Linked DNA regions of Cricetulus griseus. The protein of the gene in region 4 purifies or fractionates together with the protein of the main gene of each other region. This does not show direct contact. Links are inferred from orthologs where the notes say so. Each region holds a gene or a part of one and is shown on either strand. Other genes may lie near its edges. The genes, in order: Chd8, Kpnb1, Rnmt and Kpna6.

Region 1 (3,566 bases), on a different chromosome or scaffold from region 4:
TTTCTACAAGGTATTTAAGTCCTTTTCAGGTGTAAGGGTTTTTCTCAATCCAAGTCTTTGATGTCGCCCCTTTCCCAGGTCTGTCTATCCCTGTGCCCCGTGGGCGGAAAGGGAAAAAAGTAAAGTCACAAAGTACTTTTGACATTCATAAGGCAGACTGGATCCGGAAATATAACCCTGATACTCTGTTCCAAGATGAGAGTTACAAGAAGCACTTGAAACATCAATGTAACAAGTAAGAGCACTCACTATTCAGATAAGTCTGAATGAAGGCTTGCTACATTGTTGCTAAGGTATCTCTTTCTCCCTTCTAGGGTACTGCTAAGAGTAAGGATGCTGTATTACCTGAGGCAGGAAGTTATTGGAGACCAAGCAGAGAAGGTGTTAGGGGGTGCCATAGCGAGGTACGGTTACTTTATTTAACATTTTATTCATCTGTCATCTATTAATTATCTATTTGTCATTTTGTATTGTGGAGAGAACAGGGACATGCCATGACATGCTTGTCGGACAAGTTGCCAGTGTAGGTTTTTTTCTTATGTGGGTTCTAGGGATTGAACTCAGGTTGTTGGGCTTGGTAGCAAGCACTTTCACCTACTGAACCACCTCACCAACCTCTCATTCATTCTTCATTTTATTTCTTTCTTACTCCAGGACTGACTGGTTTGCTTACTTCTTTCTATACTGTCTTTGAGATATCTGATAATTAAAAAAATCTCTGCATCAGGCCTTTAATCTTGTATTTAGCACAAGTTCATAGAAATACAGCAGAAACAGAAGCATTTAAAGTAACAGATAAAGCAAGCAACCTTTAGTAATCTTTCAAAGGGTTATCACTTTTATTTCTAACATTGCTTTACTGACTTACACATTTAGTGAGATTGACATATGGTTCCCAGTAGTGGATCAGCTGGAGGTTCCAACAACATGGTGGGATAGTGAAGCTGACAAATCCCTGCTCATTGGCGTTTTTAAGCATGGTAGGTACCATCTCCAGTACTGCTTTTCTATCAAAGAAGTGTGTCAAAAGATAATACCTTTAACAAAGTGCTTATAAGTAATTCATCACCAGAAATTTTTAGTAAGAAATAGTTCTTAAATGTATGTAGCAAACTAGTTAGTTCTATAAGCAAATGTTCAAGGAATTCCAGATGGACACTTAAATCAAAGGCAGGGAGCCTCTGTCTGTTTTTTAACCATGATTACTATAATGTTACCTCTCTATGTATTGTGGGATCTACATTAACCATATTTTCAGTAATTTTTCTTATGTTATGCTCATCTGAATGTCTCACTTGTCTAAACAGTGAGTACTAATTTCTTAGCAGTTTTTGCCTAATAAGAAATTCCAGGCCGGGTTGTGGTGGCACACACCTTTAATCCCAGCACTCAGGAGGCAGAGGCAGGCGGATTTCTGTTGAGTTCGAGACCAGCCTGGTCTACAAGAGCTAGTTCCAGGACAGCCTCCGAAACCACAGAGAAACCCTGTCTCGAAAAACCAAAAAGAAAGAAAGAAATTCCAGGCATTAGAATCAGTGAATATTAGCTTTATCCTTTGATGTATTGGGATGTATTTTTTTTAAACATATTCTGTTTACTTCCAAAAATAAAGGTGCTTAATTTACATGTTTTTGACAAATGTAAAGGGCTAAGAAAAGTTGTGAGCAAGCCAGGTGTGGTAGTGCATCCTTTTAATCCAGCACTTAGAATGCAGAGACAGGCAGCTCTCGTGTGTCCCAGGCTAGCCAGGGCTACACAGAGAGATCCTATCTCAAAAAAACAAAAAGAAACAACAACAACAACAAAAAAGGTGGGCATTTGATTTACTAGTAAGACACAGAAGTTTAAAGTTAATATAAGTACTCACTGAGACTCTCTTTACTTTCAGGTATGTTACTAGTTCTTCATTTGAGAATGTGTGACAAAATCCATGTTATTACACTACTTTCATTTCTGTAAGAGTTGTAATCCAAAGATTATCAGTTAAATGACTGTATACACAATTTACCTTAAGATGAGTTACTTATTAAATTCTTGTCAATCACTAGATGAAAACCACAAAAGTCATAAATACAGTGTGGTATTAACACCTATCCAAGTTAGCTTGTAATGACAAAATGAATCTTTGAATGTTTTCAATCTATGGCCATTGTTCTTCTAGGCTATGAGAAATATAATACCATGAGGGCAGACCCTGCCTTGTGCTTCCTGGAAAAGGCTGGGAGGCCAGATGACAAAGCCATTGCAGCAGAACATAGGGTGTTAGATAATTTCTCCGACCTGGTGGAAGGGTAAGCATTGGTGTTCTTTCTTCACTTCTGTGTCTACTCCGTATTGCTTGTGCTGATATTACCTAACTCTAGCCTTGGCTGAATGAAGTAGGATTCCTTTTTGTTTTGCTTTGTTTTTGTTTTGAGACAGGGTCTCACAGAGTTCCAGGTCTCCCTGGCTGCCTGGAACTTGTTTTGTCAACCAGGCTGACCTCAAACTCAGAGATTCACCTGCCTCTCCCTCCTGAGTGAGATTAAAGGCATCTGCCACCATACCCAGCCCATCACTGGGATTCTTAATGGTAGTTATACTCATGTATCATAAGTTCTTACTGTAGGATAGGACCAGCAGATTGGACTCCAGACACTGGCCTTAATCACACATTGCCATCACTACAAGTGATGATCTGTGTTCTTCCCAGAAGGCTTACACAATGATCTCAGTGTAGCTGTAATAACTGAGAAGATAAACTACTTCTATTGAAAAATAATAGGCGGTTCTCATAGGTTACTTATGTGGCAGAGCTTTGGACAGTTTTAGCCCTGACTTGTAATTCCCCATGGTATCTGACACATTAAAAGGACTCATTTTACCTGGGGACATTGTCCCGATGATGAGTTGCCATGCTAATACTGAGTCACCAGGTAGGGCAATATTGCCCTGATTTGGGTGCCAGTGAGTTTAACAAAACTTCTCATGTGGAGACCTGAGGGACATTTTGCAATGATGGGTTTTGCTAAGGACTATCCATAAATTTCTGCCTGACCAAGACTGTTGATGACCACATCACCACTTGGTATAGGACCAATAAAAGAAATGCATTGATTGTAAATCATTCTGTCACCCCTTTGCTCAATAGCAAAGTAGTGAAAATTAATACATTAAAAAAAAATATGAACAGGGGGTGGAGAGATGGTGTCTTAGTTAAGGTTACTACTGCTGTGATGAAATACCATGAACAAAAGCCATTTAGGGAGGGAAGAGTTTATTTCACTCACAGTTCCAAGTAACAGTTGATTATTAAAAGTAGTAAGGGCAAGAGCTCAAACAGAGCAGGAACCTGGAGACAATCCACCTCCAATGGACTGGGGCCTAAAAAATGTCCTACTGGCCTGTCTACAGCCTATACAGGCATTTTCTCAATTGAGGTTCCCTCCCCTCAGATGACTCTAGCTTAATTTTAGATGACTCTGACTTAAATGTAACTAGCCAACACCAGTTGCTCAGTAGTTAAGAGCAATTTCAGCTCTTGGGTGTGTGTGTCTGTGTGTCTGTGTGTGTGTGTGTCTGTGTCT
Region 2 (3,566 bases), on a different chromosome or scaffold from region 4:
GCCCTTGGAGATGGGGAACAGAGGAACAGAAGTAGTTCAGGGTCATAGACAGATGTATACAAAGTAATGGTGTGTGTGTGTGTCTAGGGTCAACCTTGAATACATCTAAAAAAAAAAAAAAACTTAATTCATAAATTCATATTAATAACCTGCTATCCAGAGGTAACAACTCAGTGGGCAAAATGCTCACCTTGGTTTTGCAGAGTTCCATCTCAACACACACACACACACACACACACACACACACACACACACACACACACACACACACACACACACACGCTGGAGAAATGGCTCAGTGGTCAAAAGCACTGTCTGCTCTTCAATTCCTAGCACCCACATGGTAGCTCACAACTATAACTCCAGTTCCAGGGAATCGGACACCTTCATACCAATGCATATACAACAAAGTTAAGTAAGTTATAGCCAACAGTGGTGGTGAACGCCTTTAATCCCAATACTTGGGAGGAGAGGCAGGCCTGGTTCGAGGCTAGCCTGGTCTACAGAGTGAGTTCCAGGATAGTCAAAGCTGCATAGTGAGACACTGTCTTGAAAAACCAAGGAAAAAGCCGGGCTATGGTGCCGCACAGCTTTAATCCCAGCACTCGGGAGGTAGAGACAGGCGAATCTCTGTGAGTTCGAGGCTACCCTGGTCAACTGAGCAAGTTCCAGGACAGCCTCCAAAACAATACAGAGAAACCCTATCTTGAAAAGAACAAAAACAAAAACAAAAAGAAAATAAAAAAACCAAGGAAAGTAAAACAGAAAACTGGATGTGTAGCCAAGTGTAGTGACAATGCCTTTAATTACAGTGCTTGGAAGGAGGCAGAGATGGGGATCTCTGAGTTCTAGGACAGCTGGAGCTACATAGGAAGACCTTGCTTCAAAAACAAAATAAACAACAAACCCAGCTGAGTATGATTTACAAGTTTATAGTCCTAGTACTGAGGTACAGAGATATGTGGATTATGGGTGCACTGGCCACCAGCATTATCAGCAAGTCCCAAGTTCAGTGACATAACTTACCTTAAAAAACAAACAAAAACCACACCACACACACAGGGTGGGCAACACACAGAGCAGTGCACATTAAAATCAATAAATTCTGACACATAATGTTCTTTTGGCTCAATGCACATAAGAGCTGGGCAGTTAGCCGGATGGTGGTGGCGGAGGCAGGTGGATCTCTGTGAGTTTGAACCAGCCTGGTCTACAAGAGCTAGTTCCAGGACAGCCTTCAAAGCCACACAGGAAACTGTCTTGAAAAACAAAAAACAAAAACAAAACACAAAAACTGGGCAGTGGTGTCCATGCCTTTAATCCCAGCACTCAGATAGCAGAGGCAGGAGGATCTCTGAGTTCAAGGCCAGCCTGGTCTACAGAGTCAGTTTCCAGGACAGCCGGGACTGATACACGAAGAAACCCTGTCTCGAAAAACCAAAAAACAAAAACAAAAGAAAAACCAAAAGGATGCAACAAGTTGCATAAATAAGGCCAGGGTGTAGGGAAGGCTGTATTGGGATATACTGGCAGGGCCGGAAGCATAGCTCCAGAGTCAGAATTCCAAGTCAAAGATAGCCTTCCCCTTATTCAGAGCTCATAAGTTGTTCTCAATTATGCACTTGAGCTTGTATTCAGATTTCAAAAGGGAAAAATTTCCTATCAGCTACCGCCTCAATATCAATAAACTGACAACCTGCTGCCCCCTTGTGTTCAATGAAGAATTATCAGCACAAATACCTGAAACTGGAAAAAGCATGAGCTGTCTCAGTATTAAGGGGATCTGGCTAGCAGAAAAACCACAATCCTATAAGGACAGTAGCCCGGTCAGAATGGAACGCTTCTAGAAGAATGATACCCACAAACAAAATGTGTAAGATCTCAGCAGAACAGCAGCTCTTCTCAAAACGGCTCACCCCAAGCTTACCTCTGAAGCCTCAATGGCCAAATCCATTTCCTCATCGCAGACGTTGGACCAAAATTCTATTCCTTGTAGGGCCACTTCATCAATGTCACTTTTCATTGCTTCAATTGTGATCTTAAAGAGGGAAAAAAAAGATACCCCAGAGCCCAAGTAAGTACAGATTTACGTTAGACATCCAAGTTAAATTTTTTTTTAACAATCAAAGATAGTACACATTTTCTTGGCACACCACTGGTAAATTTACCATTCATGCAGGGCTCATAGCTGTAATCTCAGCCCTTTAAGGAGACTGTTGAATTTGTGGCCATCCTGAATTACATAGTGCAATCCAGACCAACTAGTGTGAAATAATGTCTCACACTAAATAACAAGCCCTAACACTCATACTCAAGTAGTCTTCTTGACTTCATGTTAAGTTAAAAAAAAAAAAGAAAAACTCCACAAAAATCACAAAATAGCAATTAAAAGCAATGAGCCCTGTAACTAGTTACAAGTTCAAATTACATAAAATACTTACCGCAAAAAGGGCAGGACCCATATATGTCTCCATGTACTGGTAATACAATGACATTATCTTCACTAGATTCTGTAAAGCAGCCACTCTTACCTTTAAGAACAGATGAAACAGTTACTATGTAACTAAACAGTCTGCACAGGTAGACCTAATAAACTAAGGATACCTTCTTAATGTTGTCATTTGACCCCAATCAATCCCTCCATTTTCACTGTTTCTTCCTTCTCATCCTGCCTCCCGCCATGTTTTACCAATGCCTGAACAAACTCACGCTGCTTAGACTGAAGATGTCCCTTTCACTAACTCCAAGGGTCCAGTTTAGGTTACAGCAATAGCAATGCCATTTCTATGATGAGGATAATCATGGCAACAACTTGAGGCACCAAATCAGCAAAGTTAATCAAAACCTCCTTCACACCTCTTAAAGGGTAACAGTCTCCAGTGTAGAAAACTTTCACTATTAAATTTAGTCAAAGCTGGGCGGTGGTGGCGCACACCTTTAGTCCTAGCATTCGGGAGGCAGAAGCAGGCCGATCTCTGTGAGTTCGAGACCAGCCTGGTCTACAAGAGCTAGCTAGTTTCCAGGACAGCTTCTAGGGCCACAGAGAAAACCTGCCTCAAAAACCAAAACCACCACGGGGGGTTTAGCCAAACCTTGTTTAATTAATTGATTCCCTAAATTTCAAACTGGATGACTGAACCTAGGAAGATAGGGACAGACAATTTTCATAAAGCAACAAACTTACCCTTGTATCTGGACACTGTGTGGCTTCACAGACCACTTGCATGATAAAGTGCCGTTCAGACTGCAAAAAAATAAAGAACATTAGCAATGCATTAACTGCATGTAGGAAGGTCTGAAGATCTACAAAGAAAATCTGTAGCTAAGTCAAGGCCCTGCAACATTCTGGTACAATCTAACACCCTTCCCTGAGGCAGTAAGGGCTATAAGCAGTTTGCCTCTGGTGTCTTCAGTATGACCCTTCCTTCCCTCTAAGGAAGTCTTTAATCTTTTAATTCCCAAGGTGACCTTCCCAAACAAGGTATCAGAGAGGAGGCAGACAGGAAGATGTAGGTCACAAGGTTTAAACAACAGCTAGTGGGGGAAAAAAAAAAAAAAAAAAAAAC
Region 3 (4,148 bases), about 150 Mb from region 4:
TCAAAAATCAACAAAATTGGAGACCATGATATCTCAGGTTCTAAAAGTAATGAAGACATGCAGTGGTTTGAATGAGAATGGCCCTCATAGGTTCAAATATTTGATCTCAGTTAGTGCTACAGTTTGGCAGGAACTAGAAGGTATATCCTTGGTGGAAGAGGTCATGTCACCATGAGTGGGCTTTGTAGTTTCAAAAGTCAGGTTATTCCCAGATAGCACTCTGCCCTGTGCTTCTGAATCAAGATGTAAACTCTTCAGCTATTGCTCCAGAACCTGCCTGCTGCCATGTCTGTGAAGTGATTGTCATGGACTCTAAACCTCTGAAACTGTAAGCCCAAAATAAACTCTTGTAAAAGTTTGCCTTGGTCACAGTATCTTATCACAATAGAAGAATCACTAAAACAAGAGGTAAATTACTTTTAAAGTAAATTACTTTTAAAGGCCTTCTGCATAACAAAGAGAACATTATTTATATTAACAGGTAAAAACAAGTCACTGGAAACTGAGGATTTCAGGAGACACTAGTTTTCACTAGCTTTGAATATTGACTCAAAGTAACAGAATATCAAAATACGTTATATAGGAACAACTGAATCAGAGAACAAAACAAAATCAAGTAGGAAAATAATTTACAGAGTAACTACTATAAATCAGTATCAAGGAAAATTGCTCATCGAATTATCAAAACTCTTATTTCTCCTCTAGCATTTAATGCCTAGAAGAAACTTTTACAATAAGACCATGCAAAATGTTATTTTTAGCTGTAATTATTGCCTAAAATTATTAGTATTTAAGGGTGGTTTTTATTCAGTTTATACTTAGTTTATACATAGATTAGCTGTCATAAAAGCATCCATGACTACAAAATGGTTGCAAATGTCTAGAATTATGTGTCAAACAATTCAATTATAGAGTGCTTTATTTGGTACACTAGAAAGCAATAGATCTTACCTAAAAGAGGATGGGAAACAGTTTATTCTGGAGCCAAATTTGTGTGACAATGGCTAAGGGATACAGATTAAATACTCAAATTCCATGTTCTAACATGCTAACGGTTCCAGTAAGTTTTATAATAACAGAAGAAAGAAAATCCTAAATCCAAACAAATACATGGGTGGAAATGTCAGATAGGTGGGTCACAGAAAAGCAAGGAAATCTCAACTATAGGACCCAAATGCTATCTGACAGCATCGTTGGCCTTTCAGTTGGTCAGAACCAGAGGTCTGTTTATACATTCCTAAGGATTTACCTAATGTTCACAAAAATGTTAGGTTGCATATAGAGCAGAATGGCTAGTAAGGAGGCTAAAGGTGGGCCAACATAAGTAGGATCTGGACTTGCAACATTCCATCTTATCCGAATCACCGAAGTTCTAAAAATCACCAAGATTCTAGTCAACAGCTTTGTAGTGACAGCTGCTTTCTAGGAATTCTGGTTCACAAGAGCATTCTCAAGGCTCTGGGTTTGATCCTCAGCTTTCCACCAATATTAATAATAATAAAACTATCAATAATGATAGTGAAAATACTTAAAAGAGAGATGTCCCTATAGAACAATGGAGAAAGGATTTTGTGATAAAAAAATAGACTGACTTGGAGATGGGTATTTTGACCTGGCTCTGATCACATTGTAACTTGCCTCACAGAAATCAAGATATTCTAAAGAGACCAGGGTCTCTTGATCTATTAAACTGTTGAAACAACGAAGGGGAGGTTGAGGGAGGGGGAAGGGAGAGACGAGGAAGAGTGAGAGAGGGGAGAGAGAACATGAATGAATTATTTCCCCTAGGAATCTTATGCTGAGAGAAAGGAAAGAAACAAGCCAAAGGGAGTAAGAACACTTTACAGGAAAAGACTGAAGCCCAGGCAAAGATGTGGGGCCGCCTACCATTCCCCGCATCTTTGCTAGGCGGCCCCACACCTAGGCCAAACATAATTTTTCTTGCCTCCTACTTAAACCTCACCCTCATTTCAAGACCCACAAAGACGTGTCACACAGAGTAAATCTCCTTTTTCTGCTTTCCATTATTAACTTGGCTCTGTTAATTGTTTTACTGAGGTGGCAGAACCGTGCTTGTTGGGGTGTGCACAGGCTATGTGACCCGCCATAAGTTCGGTAACGTCCCAAAAGTAAATCATTTCTCTCGGTCGTCCCAGTTTCTGCCTGCTAGCTAACGGTCAAGCACGACCTCGAACGACCACCTTGACCGTCTACAGCGGGGTGCAAGCCGATGAAACTGAAGGAGGGGGGCAAGCAGCTCTCCAAGTTCATCTGTCCCCCTTACCGGCCCCGCTGTTACTCAACCTCTCTGGTGCAGGTTCCTACGGCTCAGCTCCAGACAGAACAAACCGTCTTTCGGTCCCAACACCTCACCCGGCCCATCGCAGCCTCATAACAGCCCCGCGGCCCGAGAAGAAGCACTGGGGCTTCTCCTCCCTGGGCCAGTGTGGTCTGGAACAGCGCCCACCGTCTCAAGACAAGCAGTGCCCACACTGCTTCCGGCTCCGGGCACAATGAACCCCACGAGGCAAGGACCGAAGGCAGGAGGCTGAAGAGAAGCGAGCCCAGCCAGGCGTCTGGGCGTTCGGCCCGTCTTTGCTCTTAGCGCCCAGGACTAAAGACAAAAGAAGCCAGGAAAGGCCAGAACGCCGAACGCCACACTCACCCACACAGTCATCCACGATTCTGTTTGCGGAAACGCCGGCCGGCGCCACGCGTGCCTTGTTACGTCACTTCCGGGGAGTGCGCCCGGGATTAGCAACCAGCCTTGGAGCGTAGCCTCCTCCGCGCCGGAACTACGAGTCCCATGGTTCCTCGCGCGGTGGCGTGCCTGTGGACCTGCGAGCGGGCACGGTGGGTCGGAGCACGTTGCTAGTGGGCGCGGCTGGCCTGGGCGGTGGAGGCCTAGCGTTCGCCTGGGTCTTGTGACACCGCACCCTGCACCAGGCTTGGCCCGGTCGCCTTGCCGAGGCAGCTTCTTCCGGCCCGTGCGGCGGGATTCCGTGGAGACCCCCGCCCACGTCCTGAGAGGTAGCCTGGGTCCATGTTCGCAGTGGGGCTTCGGGAGGGGGCCAGAGGGCACCTTCACCGCGGGCGGGTGTCTGACGGCAGCGAGGCGCGCCGCGCACGGTGTGTGGCGGCCTCCGTCCTGCAGGCGGGAGTCGTCAGCACTCCAGAGCCCACCGCTGGGGCCGGTCGAAAGAGGTCACCCCTGTCCTAGGTCCTTCTGGAGTCCTGGCAGCCTTCGCTCCTCCTGGTGCGGTTTTACACCCTCTTGCGTTATGGTCCTTAACGCCCTGCTCTTCCGTCCTTGCTAGTTGCTGTGTCCTTTCAAAAATAACGATCAGCTTCACCTTTGGGAGTGACGGGCCATTTCTTATCGCCTTGCTTGTAGTCAGGCCATACTCTTGAGGGAGGCATACCGTTATAGGCTTTCACCTCAACATTAGGGTCAGAACTTAGTAGACTCTACCTGTGGAGTGCCTCACCATCCCTCCATCAAAGTGGTGGGAAAACCACAATCAGATTTGCAGTGTCTCCTGAATTACTCTAAAGCAAATTCGACCCGTCCCAAGCAGCTTTGAAAGTGTGCTTTGCTCCTCTAAATATTTGTTTGGAGGCACTTTTATTAACATGGCCTTGGTGTAGACAAGTTTGCAGTATGCACCTCCCACTTGCAGTTTGTGGACATTAGCCCTTCTGAGGTTGTCAACTCCTTTATTAACTTTGAACTAAACGGCTTACTTTTAACAAGTATGAGAAATCAATTTCAGATAACCGGGATTGTGTATTCTATTCTATGACATTATCCAGGTTAAGAGTTAATTTTCTTTCATGAGTATGAACAAATGCAAAGGTCTTGTGGATCCTGAGCCCCAAAACGCTGTGTGCTTATTGAATGAAGCATTGGAGTTTGTTGGATCCAATGATTGAGTTTTGTTTTGTTGTTTTTTCTCCAGATATTTCTATTGTCATCTTAGAGAAAATGAACCTAATTTTGACATAAAAAAAAAAAAAACTTCCATTATGTAGCCCAGGCTGGACTTAAACTCATGATCCTATGTCAGGCCTCCCTAATGCTGGCATTGCAGACAGACCCCAGCCACACGTCTTAAATTTTTCTCTTAATGAGTTTAAAGCCTCTTAAC
Region 4 (3,566 bases):
CCAACTCCAGACATCTGACTGCTTGTATCTCCCAAGTGCTGGGATTAAAATTATGTGCCAATGAGCTTGTCCTAAATATAAATTATTACTATACTGTCAGTACCATCAAAACTTTAATCAACTCTTGAGCATTACCTGTTCTTGTACATCTTCAAAGTCTGAGTTAAGCAGCTCTATAAAAATGGGGACAGCTCCTGCTTCAATGACAATTTTGGTCTGCTGAGAAGTTCCGGAGGCAATGTTTGTCAGAGCCCAAGCAGCTTCAAACTGAAAGTGAGATTAGGCCACAAATGAGAAGTCCTTTTAGGCACAGCAACCGGCCTGCCGTCTGCCTTAAACAGCAAAGCTCTAGCACATAAAAAACCAAAACCAAATTCATGTCTTCGCTTCAGTTTTTTCATCTCTGAAACAAGGGTAAGAGTAATAGTGTGGGGCCAGGCGGATCTCTGAGAGTTTGAGGTCAGTCTTGTCTACAAGGCTACACAGAGAAACTATGTCAGTGTGCTCTCTCCCCCTTCCCTTCTTCAAGGTCTTACTCTGTAGCCAAGGCTGGCCTAAGCTTTTGCTTCTGGGCTCTATGTGCTAGAAGTATAGGCATGATCCACTGTCCCTGGTTGAGATGGCTGTCAACCCACTGTCTGCTGTGTCTAAATTTCTGATGGACTTGCTCATTATCTGTTTCTAGAAAATAGAGACCCAGAGAGGCAGGATGATTGATCTGCATCAGGTCACCAAGTTAGAGGTATAATAGGCCCTCTGATTTATAATGACAATCAGTGTATCGCATTCTGGGATCTCTGAAATCAAAACTTTTCTTCATGAGCTTTCTTTCTTTCTCTTTCTTGAGAAATGGTCTTGCTATGTAGCCCAGGCTGGTATCAAACTTGTGGCAGTTCTCATGCCCCAGCCTGCTGTATGCTGAAAATATTTGTGTATGCTGCCACATCTGGCTTCAAATATTTTTTTTTTCATCATGTACAACATGTTTTATGTATATATACATTGTGGAAACTGAGCCAGGTTCACAAATTACCTCACATAATTATTGAGATCTTTTTTTGTTTTGTTTTGGTTTTATTTTGTTTTGGTTTTCGAGACAGGGTTTCTCTGTGTAGCTTTGGAGCCTATCCTGACAGTCGCTCTGGAGACCAGCCTAGCCTCGAACTCACAGAGATCTGCCTGCCTCTGCCTCCCAAGTGCTGAGATTAAAGGTGTATGCTATCACTGTCCAGCAGGATATTTTTCTTAAAAAAAATAAAAAAGACACTCAAAGTGCAGACTTGGCTGGCTTCAAACAGAGATTTGTCTTTCTTTGCTCGGTTGCAAAGGTTGTGCTACCACACCCAGCCCTGAAACAGATTTTAAGGAAGATACTTCAATTGATAGTTTCTCTATATTACTTTTCCATTCCCTTAAGATAGGCCTACAGGGGGCTGGAGAGATGGCTCAGAGATTAAGAGCACTGGTTGTTCTTCCAGAGGTCCTGAGTTCAATTCCCAGCAACTACATGGTGGCTCACAACCATCCGTAATGAGATCTGGTGCCTTCTTCTGGCCTGCAGGCATACATGCAGGCAGAACACTGTATACGTAATAAATAAATCTTTAAAAAAAAAAAAAAGATATGCCTGCAGAAACCCACTGTGAGTTCTTGAGAACTTTGACCCACCGTCTCATGCCTGAGCGCTTTTACCTGTAATGTACAATTCTCACTCCTTTTCAGAAACTCCACAAACCGGTCAACTACTCCTGGAGTGTTAATAACTTCATCTATTGGAGGACTCGGCTCTAGAGGGAGATAGGAAAGACACCAAAAGTCAGGGAAGCTTTGCTGATCCATTCACAGTTTTGGATGCTTCTGACCACTCTTACAAACATTGCAAAACTGTCTTTGCTCATCTACAAACTGCATGTTACAAGTATAAAGGCAAACCTATTTTAGATATGCTCAGCTATGGCTTACTAAATGTGAACATAACAGAAAAGGAATGAAAAAAGTCCAAGGAACGCAACCCTATCCTACTTCACTGCTTTTTTCTTGGGAGGGATGTTTAATATGCTCAAGCAGCAAGAGATTCTTTTGCTATCATATACCTTGTTTTCAGGACGGAAAACCAATAGCAGAGCCTTGCACATCTGATACATCAAATTTTTATAGAGCAACTCGGTAAGACAGTTCTAGACACTAAGGATAGAGTATGAACCAAGCCAAAGTCCCTGCACTCACAGAACTTAGTGTGGCAGTGAAAGGTGGGCTGTTAGAAAGCAGTAGTAAGGATAGTCTTCTACTTTTATCAAGACATAGTTTCACTGTATAAACCCAAGCTAGCCTGGAACTCACAGAGATCCACCTGCCTCTGAATCCCCAGTGCTGACATTAAAGGTTATTTGCTATCAATACCTGGCTGTACCAGAACTGGGGAGGTTAAGGCAGGAGTATCTTGAATTCAAGAATAACAAGACTATCTTTTAAAAAAATGAAGGAAAAGAAAAGGAGGAAAGAAAAACGAAGAGTTTCATCTGTATACTCTTCTCTAACACATTTTAAGAGTCAGAAAACAGGACAACAGGCTTCATTAACAAGTTGTAACTGGCTGGACAGTGGTGACACTCGCCTTTAATTCCAGCACTAGGGAGACAGAGGCAGGTGGATCTTTGAGAGTTTAAGGCCAGCCTGGTCTACAGAGAGTTCCAAGACAGCCAGAGCTACACAGAGAAACGCACTCTGGAAAAACAAACACAATAGAAAAAGGTGTAACTGGGGGCTGGAGACACAGCTCAGCGTTAGAGTACTCACTGCTTTTGCAGAGTTCTGTCCTCAGCACCTATCCATGCATGCCAAGCGACTCAGAAGAGATTCTACCTCCAGCTCCAGAGGATCTGACATCCTCTTCTGGCCTCTGTGAGCACACATACTCATGTGGCATACACACATAATTAAAAACTCTTAGGGAAAAAAAGGATAGGTGAAAGAAATGCTGATAGAATTTTTGAGAAAAGAAGAATTAGCAGAGGGAATATCAAGTGTTAATGTGGGAATGTGCCTGACTTTTTCAAAGAAAACCTGGCCAGGAAGAAGGCTACAGTAGAATGAGCAATAGGTAGTAGTTAAGTAAAAAGAGTCAAGAGGCTAAGTCATACAGCACCTCTCTGAGAAGGACCCGGCTTTATACCTTTGGAGAGGAGTTTCCGGAATTTCTGTGTGGTTGCTAACTGTAAGTCAGAATCGTCAGAAAAGAGCATCTCCACCATCTCTCTTGTGATCACACTCTCCTAGAAAATAAAATAGGTTGATGACCTTGTGGATAATAATAAAGCCAAATGAAAGCATATCATTCTGCATGGCTTCCTGCTTTTTAAGAGCCTCAAGTAAGAGAATGGCATAGTAGATCCAAGTCTGCTTCAAGATACAATATTTGAAAGCGATTCCTAATCTGTGATGTAACCAATGATGTCCTTGAATGTTTTTTTCAAATTCTTTGCATCCTTGCTGAGTGGTTAAGCTGACTGACCACAAAAGGCAAGGAAGACCATAACATGATTACAAAGATACGAGATGGCATGGCT

Evidence for each region.
Region 1: the proteins of Kpna6 (region 4) and Chd8 purify together in Homo sapiens (affinity purification with mass spectrometry; 4 studies listed by BioGRID and IntAct, with this or other methods). This does not show direct contact. The link is inferred for Cricetulus griseus from reciprocal best matches to the Homo sapiens genes KPNA6 and CHD8.
Region 2: the proteins of Kpna6 (region 4) and Kpnb1 purify together in Homo sapiens (affinity purification with mass spectrometry; 4 studies listed by BioGRID and IntAct, with this or other methods). This does not show direct contact. The link is inferred for Cricetulus griseus from reciprocal best matches to the Homo sapiens genes KPNA6 and KPNB1.
Region 3: the proteins of Kpna6 (region 4) and Rnmt purify together in Homo sapiens (co-immunoprecipitation; 3 studies listed by BioGRID and IntAct, counting the BioPlex papers as one, with this or other methods). This does not show direct contact. The link is inferred for Cricetulus griseus from reciprocal best matches to the Homo sapiens genes KPNA6 and RNMT.

Annotation. Positions count from the first base shown.
Region 1 is NW_023276807.1:207,296,676-207,300,241, reverse strand, and holds part of Chd8 (chromodomain-helicase-DNA-binding protein 8), read left to right. Parts: intron 1-54; coding exon 55-235; intron 236-314; coding exon 315-404; intron 405-876; coding exon 877-980; intron 981-2,161; coding exon 2,162-2,291; intron 2,292-2,876; exon of another isoform or gene 2,877-2,986; intron 2,987-3,566. UniProt on the Homo sapiens protein: ATP-dependent chromatin-remodeling factor, it slides nucleosomes along DNA; nucleosome sliding requires ATP. Acts as a transcription repressor by remodeling chromatin structure and recruiting histone H1 to target genes.
Region 2 is NC_048600.1:110,325,221-110,328,786, forward strand, and holds part of Kpnb1 (importin subunit beta-1), read right to left. Parts: intron 3,245-3,566; coding exon 3,185-3,244; intron 2,532-3,184; coding exon 2,442-2,531; intron 2,039-2,441; coding exon 1,928-2,038; intron 1-1,927.
Region 3 is NC_048595.1:171,101,484-171,105,631, forward strand, and holds the start of Rnmt (mRNA cap guanine-N7 methyltransferase), read right to left. Parts: upstream 2,812-4,148; 5' UTR 2,666-2,811; intron 2,443-2,665; exon of another isoform or gene 2,285-2,442; intron 1-2,284. UniProt on the Homo sapiens protein: Catalytic subunit of the mRNA-capping methyltransferase RNMT:RAMAC complex that methylates the N7 position of the added guanosine to the 5'-cap structure of mRNAs. Binds RNA containing 5'-terminal GpppC.
Region 4 is NC_048595.1:23,370,894-23,374,459, reverse strand, and holds part of Kpna6 (importin subunit alpha-7), read right to left. Parts: intron 3,273-3,566; coding exon 3,173-3,272; intron 1,788-3,172; coding exon 1,693-1,787; intron 268-1,692; coding exon 136-267; intron 1-135. UniProt on the Homo sapiens protein: Functions in nuclear protein import as an adapter protein for nuclear receptor KPNB1. Binds specifically and directly to substrates containing either a simple or bipartite NLS motif.